2 linked regions of the Mus musculus genome follow. The protein of the gene in region 1 interacts with the protein of each later gene in a biochemical or structural test. Links are inferred from orthologs where the notes say so. Each region holds a gene or a part of one and is shown in the gene's direction. Other genes may lie near its edges.

Evidence for each region. The genes of interacting proteins can lie anywhere in the genome.
Region 2: the proteins of Map3k11 (region 1) and Mapk8ip1 form a complex in vitro, tested with the Homo sapiens proteins (2 studies listed by BioGRID). The link is inferred for Mus musculus from reciprocal best matches to the Homo sapiens genes MAP3K11 and MAPK8IP1.

Annotation. Positions count from the first base shown.
Region 1 is NC_000085.6:5,687,641-5,691,997, forward strand, and holds the start of Map3k11 (mitogen-activated protein kinase kinase kinase 11), read left to right. Parts: upstream 1-1,490; 5' UTR 1,491-1,626; exon of another isoform or gene 1,627-1,836; 5' UTR 1,837-1,872; exon of another isoform or gene 1,873-2,048; 5' UTR 2,049-2,606; coding exon 2,607-3,348; intron 3,349-4,357. Other genes in the region: Pcnx3 (pecanex-like protein 3), read right to left, coding at 357-509. UniProt on the Homo sapiens protein: Activates the JUN N-terminal pathway. Required for serum-stimulated cell proliferation and for mitogen and cytokine activation of MAPK14 (p38), MAPK3 (ERK) and MAPK8 (JNK1) through phosphorylation and activation of MAP2K4/MKK4 and MAP2K7/MKK7.
Region 2 is NC_000068.7:92,384,218-92,387,861, reverse strand, and holds part of Mapk8ip1 (C-Jun-amino-terminal kinase-interacting protein 1), read left to right. Parts: intron 1-226; coding exon 227-308; intron 309-415; exon of another isoform or gene 416-478; coding exon 479-1,291; intron 1,292-1,423; coding exon 1,424-1,499; intron 1,500-1,894; coding exon 1,895-2,067; intron 2,068-2,339; coding exon 2,340-2,449; intron 2,450-2,598; coding exon 2,599-2,715; intron 2,716-2,867; coding exon 2,868-2,938; intron 2,939-3,039; coding exon 3,040-3,138; coding exon of another isoform or gene 3,139-3,223; exon of another isoform or gene 3,224-3,440; coding exon 3,441-3,513; 3' UTR 3,514-3,644. UniProt on the Homo sapiens protein: The JNK-interacting protein (JIP) group of scaffold proteins selectively mediates JNK signaling by aggregating specific components of the MAPK cascade to form a functional JNK signaling module. Required for JNK activation in response to excitotoxic stress.

The DNA of each region.
Region 1 (4,357 bases):
GGAGATGACAGTTAAGTTGGATCCTTTCTCACAAAACCCTTGCTCCCTTGAGGGTGTACCTGCCACCACTGTAAAGAACTAGGATTCATCGGTTTACAAAACTTCATCACCCCTTCATGCAACAGTACAAAGAGCCCTGTTAGGGGTAGCCCTCTGTTTAACCGGGTAGATTAAATGAGGCGCTCAAGGTCACTCCATGCAGAAAAGACTTGGTCTTTCCTCTATATAAAACCAAAGTAAACTCTACAGTGAACTCTACAGTGACTCGCTTCACTCCACGCCCCAGGACTCAAGATGCCCATCCCTCCAGACTACACTCCCTCTCGCCATAGTTACAGGTGGTGGCAGCCTCTCACCATGTACAGCAAGAAGGGAAAGATGAGCAAGAAGATCCAGACATAGAGATGGAAGCAGTTGGAGAAGGTGCTCTGATGCGGATCGAAGAACCATCCCCCAGTGAGCGAGGCCCACACCCCCTGGCGCAGGATCTGCAACACCTGAGACCCCATGGCCCAGCCGCTGCTGCGCACGCCCTCCTCCCGGGACCCTCATGGGGGCGGCCCCCGGCCCATGCCCCGCTGGCGCCCGAGGGTCCCGGGGTCCGACTTAGATTTCACGCCATGGCCTCCCCCAGACGGGGGAGGGGATTGGTAGGGTGAGGGCACAGGCAGGGGGCGGGGCCGGCCCAGGCAGTCAGCGGATCAGGCCGGGATACTGGGGTGGGACTGCATCAGAGGCGGGGCCTGGGCCCCCTCCGGTGGCCCAGAACTGTTGTAAAGCGCCGAGCCTGAAAGCAGGCGCAGGGCAAGGGCTGGGCACCCGTCGGCGGCATCCAGAGGTGGGCGTGGAATAGGTGCTCTCGGAGTGCCAGTGATAGGTCCCTTGGCTCCGGACCGGAGAAATCCTTGGGACCCTGAGGTCCACTTCCGGGGTCGCAGGTCACTCGCTTGGGGCTCTGCGTTCGCCCCGCTTCTACCGGTGCCGGCGCAAAGGGGAGGCCGGAAGAAGGAGCCGCGAGCTGCCAGCCTGCACTGGCGCATGCGCCCGTTAGAACCTGTTGGGACCCGGAAAAGGAAAACCTGGCGGCAGAAGTGCGCAAGCGCGGAGAAGTAGCGAAGTGACGGGATGCAGAGGTATCTTAGGCGCGCGCGCAGTCAAATTCTAGAGCCACCAAAATATGGGACGGCCGGGTGAGTCGCCATTGGGTAACGACTTGATGACTGGCGCAAAGCTTTTCCAATGCGTTACAGGAGGCGGGGAAAAGCTGGAGAATGGGACTCCTCACGGCTACTTCCAGTTTGCGTTACCGGGTCACACCCCCGACTTGGGCCGCCTCTCCTTAGTGCGAGACCGTAAATCATGGTTGTCGCTTGGCTTACGCCTCTACTTCCGGGTCAGAGCTTAGCCGAAGCAGAGAGTGATCCTGATCAGGCCTGAGTAGTCGAACAGGATGACATAGGCTTTCTTAAAGTAACAGACACAGGACAAGTGATGAACTAACGAAGAGGTTGTTGAAGGCCCTTCAACTCTGAATCTAATCCCGGGCAAAGTTCTGAACGACAGTTTCAGGTTTTTGCCTCTCGGGTGAAAGGAAGATAATTTTAAATGGTTCCAAGAGCTTCAAGTGTAAGCCGATTTTGAAGTCCCAAACTTCTCTGTTCACATCCCCCTCTAGCACTGAAAAGCAGGGTATCTTGTTATTTCATATATGGAAAGAACGAATCTTAAAGAGCTCTGCAACTTCGTAGCCAAGACCAGATTTTGGTTTTGAGGCAATCACAAGGGTGATTTGGCTGATGAGAATTCAGACACAAGGATTCTTCTCTGTCTTTGCAGAGATCCACTTCGACCGTGAGCAGAGGAGCACCTAACGTAAGGCTTAGAGTTGTGCCGGTGTGTTTGGGGGCGGGGGAGGCGGGAGGAACTACCTGGCCCGCCTTCTACCTCTCTTGGCCAACCTCCCCGGGAACTCCCGTGCACAGCTGCCGGGAGCCTCCGGGAGGGGAGCGGTGCAACCCGCCCACGTCATCTGATGCTGTTTCCTGCAGGAGGGAGAAGAGCGGAAAAAAGTGAAACTCCACCCTCCACCTCTGCCTCCCGCCCCCGGGGCCAAAGTACAAAGGGAGGAGGAAGAAGGGACCGGGGTCGGAGCTGTCGGGGCCCAAGGCACTAGCCCAAGAAGAGGTAGCTTCGGCTCAACTGGGGACTTTCTCTTACCTCTTGTGCCTGGAGACAACAACCAGAGTCCGGGCGCTGACCCTGGCAGGCCCCACCTTACGGTAGGCGGGCGCTGAAGCCAGGTTCCCAGGACTACTTCGGAACTGAGGGACTCTGCTGCTCCAATTCAGCCATGGTGAGGCGCCGGAGGCCAGTGGGCCCCACCCCTCCAGCCTGACCACACTGCCCTTGGTGCCCTCCTCCAAAAGCCCGAGATGCGGGGGGCCGGGAGGCGACACTCCTGGCTCCCCAGAGAGGCGTGGGTCTGGGGCTGAGGGCCAGGGCCCGGATGCCCAGGTTCCGGCTCTAGGGCCTCACAAGCCAGCGGGGGTGGATACCACGGGCACCCGAAGAAGGTCCCCCACACATTCCAACGCCGGCTCCCTGCCATGGAGCCCTTGAAGAACCTCTTCCTCAAGAGCCCGCTGGGGTCATGGAACGGCAGTGGCAGTGGGGGCGGCGGGGGTACCGGTGGAGTCCGGCCGGAGGGGTCTCCGAAGGCAACAGCAGCTTATGCCAATCCTGTCTGGACAGCCCTGTTCGACTATGAGCCCAATGGGCAGGACGAACTAGCCCTGAGGAAGGGCGACCGTGTGGAGGTGCTGTCCAGGGATGCAGCCATCTCAGGAGATGAGGGCTGGTGGGCGGGCCAGGTGGGTGGCCAGGTGGGCATTTTTCCATCCAACTATGTATCTCGGGGTGGAGGCCCACCCCCCTGTGAGGTGGCCAGCTTCCAGGAGCTGCGACTGGAGGAGGTGATCGGCATCGGTGGCTTCGGCAAGGTCTACCGTGGCAGCTGGCGAGGGGAGCTGGTGGCTGTGAAGGCAGCCCGACAGGACCCTGATGAGGACATCAGTGTAACAGCTGAGAGTGTTCGACAGGAGGCCCGGCTTTTTGCCATGCTGGCCCATCCCAACATCATTGCCCTCAAAGCTGTGTGCCTGGAGGAGCCAAACCTATGCCTGGTGATGGAGTATGCAGCTGGTGGGCCTCTTAGCCGGGCCCTGGCTGGTCGGCGTGTGCCCCCCCATGTGCTGGTCAACTGGGCTGTGCAGATTGCCCGAGGAATGCACTACCTGCACTGTGAGGCTCTGGTGCCTGTGATACACCGAGACCTGAAGTCCAACAACAGTGAGTTTCCAGGGGCATGAAGCATGGGCACGGGGAGGCTCGGAGCACGGCCCAGCCGAGGCCCAGGTGCACACGTCTCCTAGCTCAGCTGAGCCTAGTTAGGGAGATGCTGGCCTCACAAGCTCCTTCCTGAGAGGAGTATTAGATGTCCAGGGAATACCCGTGGCCTATCAGTGACCCCCAAAACAGGAATCCCCGGAACCTGGCAGAGTTCTGCCTCTGTCCTGGGAGTCCCTAGTCCCAGTCTTCAGCTGAAGTTTTGACAAGTTTTCAAAACTGAGCTCTCTCAGGCGGCCCTTCAGCACCCTGCTTTACCGTGGTCACCACCTCAGGGAAGTCTTCTGGAAGCTGCTCCTCCAGCCTTCCCCTTCCGAGATTTACAAACGTGGTGTTGCTTCCCTCCCTCTCCCATAGGCAGCTCCTTCAGGACAGAGATCTCAGCAGGGAAGACCCTCCTCCCTGCTCAGAGACTAAGGCTGTTCCATCCCACTCTTTCCTGCCTACATGTTCTCCGGCCGATTATTTCACCTCAGAACCTCAGTTTCAGCCTCCCTAGAATGGGAACAATGAGACCAGAGCAGCTTAAGGACCTTCAGAAGCCCTGACCCAGGATGCCCAGCAAGCAGGGGTCCCCCAGGCCAGGGATGCAAATATGAAGGGAGACTCCATCTCTCACTATCTCGGACTCCCATTCGCTGCCTGTCATAGGCCCAGGAAAAATTGGTGACAGGTTCAGACAGCTTCCTGAAGTGGGCAGGCTTCAAGCCAGTCCAAAACAGGCAGCACTTAGTGAAGTACTTGGTTGGGTGGGTGTCTGGGCAGGGCCTGACCACAGTGCAGGCTCAGAGGCAGAGGTCAGCAATGTGGAGACAGCGGGACCTGGGTCTGCTGGAGCAGAGGGCATGGGCTGGGGACAGTAGGAAATGTAGTGGACATGGTCCTGCGTGACAGGAGAGTGCAGAGATTCTTAGGGGCATCAGCACGGACATTTTGAGCATCTTGGCCTCAG
Region 2 (3,644 bases), on another chromosome or scaffold:
CACTGCATCTCTTGAGGGTTGTCTCCAAGCCAGCAGGCCTGTGGGGAGGGTGCTAACTTCCCACCCTGCCTGCCTGCTAGAGGATGGTTGGCAGAAAGGCCTTTGGCAAGGCAAGATGGGGTGGGAACAGCCTAGGGATGGCCTGATGGGGGCAGGACCAGGGCCTCCCTGTGCCGGGCACTGCTGACTACTGCTTCTTCATAAGAGCCTTTTGTTCTCTGCATAGGACACGCTGAATAATAACTCTTTAGGCAAAAAGCACAGTTGGCAGGACCGTGTGTCTCGATCATCCTCCCCTCTGAAGACAGGTAAGTCAGGCCTCTCTCCCCAAGCTGGAGACCCAGCAGTCTTCACCTGGCTCACCTGGGCTGAGGTCATCTGGAAGCCAGTGGCTGGCTGCAGAGGACAGTTGGGAAGAGGAGGGGACAGGTATCTGGACAGAGGTTCTGCCCTCAGCACCCACCTGCCTGTCCTCCAGGAGAACAGACGCCTCCACATGAACACATCTGCCTGAGTGATGAGCTGCCACCCCAGGGCAGTCCTGTTCCCACCCAGGACCGCGGCACTTCCACCGACAGCCCTTGTCGCCGAAGTGCAGCCACCCAGATGGCACCTCCAAGCGGTCCCCCTGCCACTGCGCCTGGTGGCCGGGGCCACTCCCATCGAGACCGAATCCACTACCAGGCAGATGTGCGGCTCGAGGCGACTGAGGAGATCTACCTGACCCCAGTGCAGAGGCCCCCAGACCCTGCAGAACCCACCTCCACCTTCATGCCACCCACGGAGAGCCGGATGTCAGTTAGCTCCGATCCAGACCCTGCCGCTTACTCTGTAACTGCGGGGCGGCCACACCCCTCCATCAGTGAAGAGGATGAGGGCTTCGACTGCCTGTCATCCCCAGAGCGAGCTGAGCCACCAGGTGGAGGGTGGCGGGGAAGCCTCGGGGAGCCACCACCGCCTCCACGGGCCTCACTGAGCTCGGACACCAGCGCACTGTCCTACGACTCGGTCAAGTACACACTGGTGGTGGATGAACATGCCCAGCTTGAGTTGGTGAGCCTGCGGCCGTGCTTTGGAGATTACAGTGACGAAAGCGACTCTGCCACTGTCTATGACAACTGTGCCTCTGCCTCCTCGCCCTACGAGTCAGCCATTGGTGAGGAGTATGAGGAGGCCCCTCAGCCCCGGCCTCCCACCTGCCTCTCAGAGGACTCCACCCCGGATGAGCCTGATGTCCACTTCTCTAAGAAGTTTCTGAATGTCTTCATGAGTGGCCGCTCTCGTTCCTCCAGTGAGTCGGTGAACGGGGGGAGCAGTGTGGGAACCTGAACAGGACCTCACACACCACATAGTCTGCCTGACAGCAAGACAGAGCTTTCTACCTGCTCTGAGCCACCTCCTCCAAACTATTGCCTTCCCACAGGTGCTGAGTCCTTTGGGCTGTTCTCCTGCGTCATCAATGGGGAGGAGCATGAGCAAACCCATCGGGCTATATTCAGGTGAGGGCTGCCCCCTTCCTTGCCTCTGCCAGCTCATCACTGGCATCCCCTCAGCTGCTGGGGGACCATACCCTCTTGTAGGAACTCAGCTTAGTGACAAAGTGCTGAGGTGCCGTGAACTATAGGTGCTAGGACTATACACCTAACCTGGGTAGGGGTCGGAGAGATGCCCACCCTACATAGAACCTATGTACCCTAGGCAAGCTGCTCACTTTCATTTAAATTTCTTAAGGCCTAGGCTCCCTTTCTCCCTGGCCCCTGGGTTTTTGGATAGGAGTGTCACGTGTTCCTTCAGAGTCGGCACTGTGACGGGCACATGGGTAATCTGCAAACGTCAGCAGCTCAGGACCCCAGACTGGGCCTGGCTGCAGCACCTCCCGTGCCCTTGGGGACAGGTTTGTGCCTCGGCATGAAGATGAACTTGAGCTGGAAGTGGATGACCCCCTGCTGGTGGAGCTGCAGGCAGAAGACTATTGGTATGAGGCCTATAACATGCGCACCGGAGCCCGCGGGGTCTTCCCTGCCTACTATGCCATTGAGGTCACCAAGGAGCCTGAGCACATGGCAGGTAGTACGCTTCCCCCGGTCTGGTCTTACCCACCCCTGCCATCTGCCTGCCAACTCGCTGCCAGTGAACACACACCCCAGGTCTTAGGGAGAAGAGGAGAGGTCATTTCAGTTCCACTTCACAGTTAGTGCCCCGCCAAGTCAGGGCCTGTGGGGATGGTGGCATCGTCGTCTGCTGCCTGAGTCACTCTTCATGCTCCTCTCTCCTTGGCTCAGCTCAGAGCCCCTTGCTGATGGCTCTCTTAGACTCCTCCTTGTATGCTTGCTTTCCAGCCCTTGCCAAAAACAGCGACTGGATTGACCAGTTCCGGGTGAAGTTCCTGGGGTCTGTCCAGGTTCCTTATCACAAGGGCAATGATGTCCTCTGTGCTGCTATGCAAAAGGTACCCACGTTTGGATCCATGCTTCTTCCTGGGGGGTGGGGGAGCCTATTCTCAGCCAGCCCACACTATTGGGGAAAAGGATACAGGGATCTGGAGGCTGTGCTGTGACACAGTGAGACAGCTTCCAACAGAAGCCCATCCCTCCACAGATCGCCACCACCCGCCGGCTCACCGTGCACTTTAACCCGCCCTCCAGCTGTGTCCTTGAGATCAGTGTCAGGGGTGTCAAGATAGGCGTCAAAGCTGATGATGCTCTGGAGGCCAAGGTGACTTCCTTCAAGCCTCAGCCTTCTTGCCTATGGGCATCTCCTCCCCCTTGGTCTCTTGCCTGCTGTGTGAGCCTAACCCCAGACACCGCATTGTCTCTCCTGCCTACTTCCTACCAGCTGACTTCTTGCTTCTCCCATCACTCCTGTAGGGAAATAAATGTAGCCACTTCTTCCAGCTAAAGAACATCTCTTTCTGTGGATACCATCCAAAGAATAACAAGTGAGTACAAGGAGCAGTCATGAGAGTCCCATTGGACATCTTCAGACATGGTGGGTGAGTAGGGCTCAGAATCTTATCTCACAGATGCCTGCCTTCCACAGGTACTTTGGGTTTATCACTAAGCACCCTGCTGACCACCGGTTTGCCTGCCATGTCTTTGTGTCTGAAGATTCCACCAAAGCCCTGGCGGAGTCTGTGGGGTACGTGTGTACGTGTGTGTGTGTGTACGTGTGTGTGCACGTGCTGTTTTCATGCTCAGTTGTCAGCATCACCCCTGCCCTCTAGTTCTGGAAGCCCCAATCCTGGAAGAGGCTGGGAGGTCCCAAGAAGCCCAGGCTCTGGACCACTCCTTGTTGATTAGCCACTGGTCCTCTTCCCCACTTGGCCCTTTCTCTTTGGGCAGTAACTGCCCAGAGGACAGTTAAGCTGTCCCCAGCCCCGGATCTCCCTTGTGGAGCCTGGGATGAGGCTCCTGGTCACCCCCATGTCCCCCACTTCCCAGGCGTGCATTTCAGCAGTTCTACAAGCAGTTTGTGGAGTATACCTGTCCTACAGAAGATATCTACTTGGAGTAGCAGCACCCCCACTCTCTGCAGCCCCTCAGCCCCAAGCCAGTGCAAGGACAGCTGGCTGCTGACAGGATGTGGTACTGCCACAAAAGAATGGGGGAATGAGGGCTGTTGGGTCGGGGGGGCCGGGGTTTGGG